Linked DNA regions of Oryctolagus cuniculus. The protein of the gene in region 2 interacts with the protein of the main gene of each other region in a biochemical or structural test. Links are inferred from orthologs where the notes say so. Each region holds a gene or a part of one and is shown on either strand. Other genes may lie near its edges.

Region 1 (3,813 bases), on a different chromosome or scaffold from region 2:
ACTAACTTGGCTTGGGGAGCGTCAGCAAAGGCCTGACAAAGAACTTGGAAGGATAAGGAGTGTTTCTCAGGTGGATGAGGGGAGAGTGTTAGGAAGAGTTGCAGATTGGTTCCTCCTCACACGAGGTGCGGAATAGAGAGGAGGCAGTGTACGAATTTACAGCCAGACCGAATTTATTCAGAGAAAATAAATCTGTAGAGGTGGGTGACCAGTTGCCCATGTGCACACTGATGGCCCCGCCCCAGAGGCCGGGCCTTTTTACATTTTAGGAGGGCTGGGGGTGGGGGTGGGGTAGTGGCAGCAGGCAGAGGGGAATTCCTGAAACTGGTCTTTCCCGTGACTGGGGGTGTGGGTATGAAGACAGTAGGATGAGACCCATTTGAGATTCAAGGGCAAGGAATATATTCCTATGTGCATCTCCTTTGGGCAGCGAGGGAGAATGGCTGAGGCTTATGTCCTTGTCCATCAGAGAGCGTCTCCCCAGACAGGGAACAACATGTTGAGAACAGAGGCGAGTTTGAGGGTGGCAAGAAGTCAGGCGCAGCTTGGGAAAGTGTGGGAGAAGTCAAGAGGAAGTACAGAGTGGACTTGAGTCTTGCATGTCTAGTCTGTTTTCACAGGCAGAGGGAGCCACCGGACAGCTTTTAAGCAGAGCAGAGACATGTTCATAGGAAAATGCCAGGGGTAGCAGTGGGGGGCAGGGGCTTTGATTGGCATACGGGAACTAGAGCCTGAGGTACCAGTGAGCGGGGAAAGAATCGGCTTCATTCACAGGCCGTGGTGATCGACTGTGGAAGTCTGCAGGGTTGGGATCGGAATTGGTTTACTAATGGATGTGGGCTATAGCAGCGGAACAGGTTGGGGAGGAAAGTAATGGATTTGACTTTACTCTGAGTGTCTGAGCTATCCAGGTCGCAGTACCCAGTGGAGAGCCAGCAGTGAGAATGGTCAGGAAGAGGTCTATGGGAACTGTCACTTTTTTTTTTTTTTTTAAAGATTTATTTATTTATTTGAAAGGCAAAGAGAGAGAGGTCTTCCTTCCGTTGGTTCACTCCCCAATTGGCCGCAGTGGCTGGAGCTGAGCTGATCCGAATCCAGAAGCTTCTTCTGGGTCTCCCACATGGTGTAGGGAGTCCTTGGGCCACCATCTTCTATTCCTTTCCTAGGCCATAGCAGAGAGCTGGAACTGAAATGGAGCAGCCAGAACTCGAACTGGTGCCCTTATGGGCTGCTGGCACTGCAGGCAGCGGCTTTACCTGCTACGCCACAGCGCTGGCCCCGTCTGTCAGCCTTTTTTGTAGACAGTAGAAGAGGGAGCTATAGTGGTATGTGAGAAGGTGTGGTCAGCAGTGTGTGCTTCTGAGACGGCAGGCTCTGGGCAGAGGGAAAGAGATGTGTGGGTCACTGGGGGAAAGGTCGTGACTTTGAAGAGAAAGTTCCAGAGGTAGATTTGGGGAATTCCGATAGTGATGGGCTGAGCCGGGACCAAGGAGAAAGGAAATAAAAACAGTGCTTATAGGCTCGCTTTGAGGAGTCTGGTGTTAGAACGGAAGGAGAGACAGTGGGGACTGTGTCTCCGTTGGTCTCTCTGTGTAGCCTCGTGCCTCGCTGACCGGTCAGTCAGTGCCCAGGGGATTGAGCCCTGGGGTCCTATCACAGCAGGTCTCTGGGGCTTTGCTCTCCATGCTGCCTTTCCTGTGGTTCTCACACTGCAAAAAAGAGGAGCTAGGAGTGTCTGTCTGTCTGTGTGTCTGTCTGTCTCTCTCTGATATTCTGTGCTGCAGAGGACTATGAAATTCTCATCAGATAGTAGCTGTCCTTCCAGTGTGAGCAGTTGTCATTGGGAAAGCTCTTCGCTTAAACTGTTTCTTATCGGCTGCTTATTAACAAATTGTTTGAAATATTTCTAACGTTGTGAACTCCTTTTTTAGCTCCAGCCCTCAGCAGGGAGAGCATCTTTCAGCAATCCAGGAATGAGTGAAGCAGGAAACTTCAGCGGGAACAGCTTCCTGCCGGCAAATGGCCTCACTCCAGCCCAGAATCAGGTAGCCCACACCTGTGTGGCCTCAGAAATGTTGGCAGTCGGCCTTGCGTGGCCTTGCTTCCTCAGTGCACTAAGGCTCCCAGTACCTGGCTCATTTCTCCCTTACAAAGGGACTGAGGTTTGAAAAGGGCAGTGTATTTATGTGGTTGCTAATATGTTTCTGATTTGAATCTTGAAGGTGCTGAATTTGATTAAGGCTTGCCCACGACCTGAGGGATTAAACTTTCATGATCTTAAGAACCAACTCCATCACATGACTGTGGCCTCGATCAAGTGAGTATTGGGTTTCTGCAAGCTGGGGTTCCACAGTTGTACCCATTTCACCTCATCAGGGTTTCCTAGGGTGGAAAAGTAGCCTTTGGCACAGCAGTTGTTACCACTTGGGACACTCACATCCCGCAGTAGCTTCTCCACGTTCAAGTCCCAGCTCCCCTTCCAGTCCAGCTTCCTGCTAATGCTAAGGCGCTAACTCCAATAGTTGGGTCCTTTTCACCCATATGGGAAATCCAGTGAAGTTCATAGATCCCAGCTTTGGCCTGGCCCAGCACTGGCTGTTGCAGGCATTTGGGGAATAAACCAGTACATGGAAGATTTTCTCTCTCTCTCCCTTTCAGATAATAATTTAAAAATAAAAACCAGCAACGCAGTAAAAGCTTGCTACAACCTCATTGACAGAGGGGAAGTTGTTCAGCGCGGATACATGGAAGGACTCAGGAGAGGGTGCTGCTCGGCACATTCATAATTTTTTTTTTATTTTATTTATTTATTTTTTTGACAGGCAGAGTGGACAGTGAGAGAGAGAGACAGAGACAAAGGTCTTCGTTTTCCGTTGGTTCACCCCTAATGGCCGTTGCGGCCAGCGCGCTGTGGCCTGTGCACCGCGCTGATCCTAAGCCAGGAGCCAGGTGCTTCTCCTGGTCTCCCCTGCGGGGCACATTCATAATTAATTTGTTCATTCAGCAAACACTAAGGTCCGCTATGTAAGAGACGTCATTCTGAGCAGCGGCCTGATACCTCGTGGGCTTTACACTACGGAGGGAGGTCCCTAGCTCCTGACCCTCCGGTGTCCCCTTGCGGACGTGAGTGCATTGGGCTCTCTAGACTGGAAGCCATTAGACGGTCTGCTGACACCTCAGTCCACTTCAGACGAGCAGCTTCCTGCCGCAGTATGATGAACTGGCCAGACCGACTGAGCACTGCTTTGCTTGGAGGTGGTTATTTGTTACTGTGAACCAGTTGATAGTGTAGGCCTAGATAGGAGAGAATGTCCAGGTGTAATTCCATTTCCTGTTCTGTGAAGTGAGGGGAATAGCCCGTATCTCAGAGTGCTTGTGATGATGAGGAACAGTGTACCATAAGTGCTTTAAGTGACTTCTTTTTTGAATGTTTACTTATTTATCTGTTTGAAAGGCAGAGAGAGAGACATAAACAAAGATAGCTTCCACCTGTTGGTTTACTTCCAAAATGCCTACAAAAGGGCTGGACCAGGCCTAAGCCTGGAGCCTGAAGCTCCATCTGGGTGCTCCCATGTATATGGCAGGGCCCAAGCTCTTGAGCCATCATTTACTGCCTCCCAGGGTACATTAGCAGGATCGGAAGCAGAGGAGTGGGACTCAAACCAGCATTCCAGTAAGGGAGTGGGCGTCCCAAGCAGCAGTTCAGCCTGCTGGCCACAGTACTGGCCCTCTACAGATAGCTGTTTGGTGGCCAGTGTCATGGCTCAGTGATCAAGCCACCATTTCCAGTGTCGGCATCTCCTATCAGAGCAC
Region 2 (3,813 bases):
TTCCACTGTTTTCCCAGGCTGTAGCAGAGAGCTGGATCGGAAGTGGAGCAGCTGGGACTAGAACTGGTGCCCATATGGGATGCTGGCACTGCAGGCAGCGGCTTTACCTGCTATGCCACAGCACTGGCCCCACAGCTGAAATATTAACCACCTCTATTGTTTTCAATAAGATGTTTACTTCACAACCAGATACTAGCTATCCTGGGTAACTCAGATATAGTATGCATACAATAGAAAAATCTACACCAGGCTGGGGTTACATCCCTCTGCCAAGAGGCAGATGACCTGTTCCTGGCTATAGTAGTCAAAGAGACAAGACACTAGGAGATATTACACATGGCAAACTCTTTATTTTCTTATTAACACTAAAGCAGAAAATACAAACATTAAAACAGAATATGAACAACAATCTATTGCCCCATTTTCAAAGCAGGCACAAAACATACAAAAGACATTTTAAATCAGCTTAACTCCAAACCCTCTAATGGGAAAACCACCAGAGGTAGACAGAGGTAAGGGAACATGGTAGACAGAGACCCTGGTAGTGCTCAGTGGACTAGAGCTAGTCAGGTACAGCTTCCTGCAAGTAGGGTGGTCCCCCATTTCCCATGGAGAAATCAGTCATAGTCACGTCAATTCGCTTCCAAAACATCCAAGCATATTGTAGGAATGCAAGGTCAGGCAAACCTTGAGATTCACCCAACCTCCCTAGTAACAAATCCCTTAGTTCCTACTCTTAGGGGAAACCAATGAGTATCAGTTGAGTAGACTTCAAAGCAAGTCAAATCCTAACCTACCCCAAAGAGAAAGGCAGTCAGAGGCTGACCACTCGCATCCTCTCTGCCAGTCTGCTGAAATCAGATGACTTTCTACTGAAGTGTCGGGCCCAGGGAGCCACTCTTAATCAACATATCATAAGGAACATCTCCACCAAGAAAGGGGAGTTTTGCCCAGACTCCAGAAGGTGGCTTTTATAAAGATGTTCTCAAATAGAAGGAGGCCATTAAAAAGGTTAGTAACTAGAATATGGAACTCTGGGGAAATCCACAACAATGAGAAAAATCCTGGCAACCTTCCAGACAGTTGATAGCTCAGAATTGTTTTATAATAAAAGTAGCATCTCTCTGACAATCATGTAAGAAAAAACATCCTGCATCAAAGAACAGGGCAGTGACCTGCCACCCCTTGAAGACGGTGGTTCAGCAGAGGAGCCTGAGGCAAACAGAAACTGAGCCTCCAGTGGAGAGACCAGCGCTCAGTGCTGGCCAGTGCAGGAGAGGAACGACAGCTGGTGAGCATCTCCCTGCCACCATGTGGGTCTCCAGCCACCACTCTCTTCCTGAGAATAACCTTTTATTACCTACACTTTTACAAAACATTATGGAGGAAAATCAGAGGAACTTAAGAGTCAAACATCAATTTCAGAGAGGAAAGCTTTTACCTGGGAACTAAAAACATGCTCAAGAACAGTCCCTTACTCTGAGGGATTGGCTTTATTGAGATAGGAACTCTCAAAATGGTAAAAAACAAGCCGTTCTATCCTCAAAAATGGTTTGAGTGTAGCTTCTCTCCTGTGAGCTCTTAGTCCTTTGCTCTCAATCTTAGGTGAGACTAAAATAAGAGCTTTGACATATCATTCATTTTTTCCTAGTGAGAGAGGAAAGCAGTAGTCTTTAAAGCTTTGAATTGGATAAAACTAACCCTGAGATCCTAAAATAGCTAAATATACAAGCCTTCCCTATTGCTCAAACAACTGGTCTTTTGTCTTTAGATCTCAAAATATGCAATGAGTTTAATGTACTCAGCATTAGCAAAGATTCTAACACTCATCAGTTGCCTTCATCACTGGGCTTGCTGACATTCCAGCACCGTGTGCCTCAAACGTAACTACTGTTGCCACAAAGCATGCCAGATGTGTTCTACCACACATTTCTGTGGAGATGAGACCAAGGTACCAAAAGGTCAGCCATTAGGCTGAGAAATAAATTAAATCACACACAAGGTTCCACAGTGCCCTCTTGTGTTTAACTGGAGAAGGACTCTTCTACATCCATGCTGCATCCAAGCAGCAAACAATGCAGGACTCTCAAAGCAATTAACCCAGTGAAAAGACCATTCAAGTGGGGTGTCATATCCCCTGGAAAACGCTTGGTGAACACGCCTATCTTAGAAGACTGCTGAGAGGATATTCTCAGGTCCAACAGAAAGACAGGAAATAAAGACAGATTCCCAAAAAAGACTCAAGAAGGCTCGTAACTCAAGAAATAGAAAATGAAGATGGACCACCAGTACTTACTCTTTTAAGGGATATAGCAGATACACAATCTGTAGTGTCTAAGTGACCTGGAGTCCCAGAATCATATTAATCCAAAAGAACCATGATCCCAAAAGTTGTCCACAAGCAATAAACAGGAATATTACTCAAGGCTGCTAGGTGCTAGCAAAAAGCATTTAACATGAACCATCAGTAGATCTGAAAGCTCAAAACCATGGTCACTCCCACCTATAGAGGTGGACCATCTTCTCTGTCAAGGTGGCCAGGTAGCTATTATGGTTCACCTCAAATGGGCAGATGTCCAAGACAGGATGATCAGTCTGCAGGTCCTGTAACTTTGAGCCATTGCTGGCATCCCACAGCTAAAGAAAAGCAAAGACAAAGGTTAGTAGTCAGTTCAGGTTGGGGATTTGCTCTCTTAATCATCAAACAACTCTGAAAGAGCTACTGAGAGAGCCATGCCTGGGGAGCAAACAAACTGTTCCTAACCTTCACAAGGTATCACAAAAGCCAGCATACCTTACATGGTACAAGTATAGCTTCACCTAGGATAATCAGCAGTTATTCCAACTTTGAAATGAGTTTGAAAACCAAGCCTGGTACTCATTTCTTCAATTATTGTACCAGGAAGTCTTCTAGGGCCGTCATTTCTAGTGACAAAGGATCAGTAAGACAAAGCCCCTGTTACAGTCCTCAGGGAACATACCTTTTAACTGTGCTTCCTTCTCCTTTCTAATAACTTTTAATATTACTAAAAACATTTAAAAGCACTTAAAAAAGTAGACAGAATAGTACAATGAGCTACTCATCACCTAGATTCAACATTACATTTTTACTATATCTGTTTTATCAACCCTATTTTTTTTATTCTACCAGCTTCAGCCATTTTACCCTTATTTACTTAAGTATGCATCTCTAACACCTCAATGCCATCATGTCCAACAAAATGAATATACTATTATCTAAAACCTGGTACATAAACTTCCCGGGGAGTTTTTTTTTACATCCTGTTTGTTTCTATCAGGTCCACATTACATTTGGTAGCTATTTCTTTTAAATCCAGAGCAGATCCAATCTCCGATTTCCCCCTGCCCCCACCTTGCAGAAGCTGGGTCAGCTGTCTTACAGAATGCCCACAACCTGGGCTTGTTTGCTTTCTGTGCTATCATTCAACTTGTGGCTCAATTCCCTACAATTCCAGTCAGTGAAGGTTAACAACAGTCTCAGGATGGCACTCTTAAAACAGTGGCAACTAGCCATGTTTATATTTAACTAAAACAAAGTTCTTCACTCATACTAACCACATTTCAAGTGGCTAGTATTCTGGACAATGTTGTTATCAGCCTTGATTAAACTTAGGTTCAAGTATACCTTACAGGAGGCACTGTGTGCTTCAAATTATCTTAAACAGGCACAATATTACTGGTTAACCCACTTACAGTGATGCTAAGAAGACTAGTCAACAAGTTCAGGTGATAGGCTGGTCCGTCCACCACCAAATTGCCTATCAACTTTTCATCTGCTGACTTCATTCTGAG

The links.
Region 1: the proteins of RFWD3 (region 2) and RPA2 form a complex in vitro, tested with the Homo sapiens proteins (3 studies listed by BioGRID, with this or other methods). The link is inferred for Oryctolagus cuniculus from reciprocal best matches to the Homo sapiens genes RFWD3 and RPA2.

Annotation. Positions count from the first base shown.
Region 1 is NC_091438.1:143,738,342-143,742,154, forward strand, and holds part of RPA2 (replication protein A 32 kDa subunit), read left to right. Parts: intron 1-1,931; coding exon 1,932-2,045; intron 2,046-2,222; coding exon 2,223-2,317; intron 2,318-3,813. UniProt on the Homo sapiens protein: As part of the heterotrimeric replication protein A complex (RPA/RP-A), binds and stabilizes single-stranded DNA intermediates that form during DNA replication or upon DNA stress.
Region 2 is NC_091449.1:57,204,398-57,208,210, forward strand, and holds the end of RFWD3 (E3 ubiquitin-protein ligase RFWD3), read right to left. Parts: intron 2,638-3,813; coding exon 2,494-2,637; 3' UTR 329-2,493; downstream 1-328. UniProt on the Homo sapiens protein: E3 ubiquitin-protein ligase required for the repair of DNA interstrand cross-links (ICL) in response to DNA damage. Plays a key role in RPA-mediated DNA damage signaling and repair.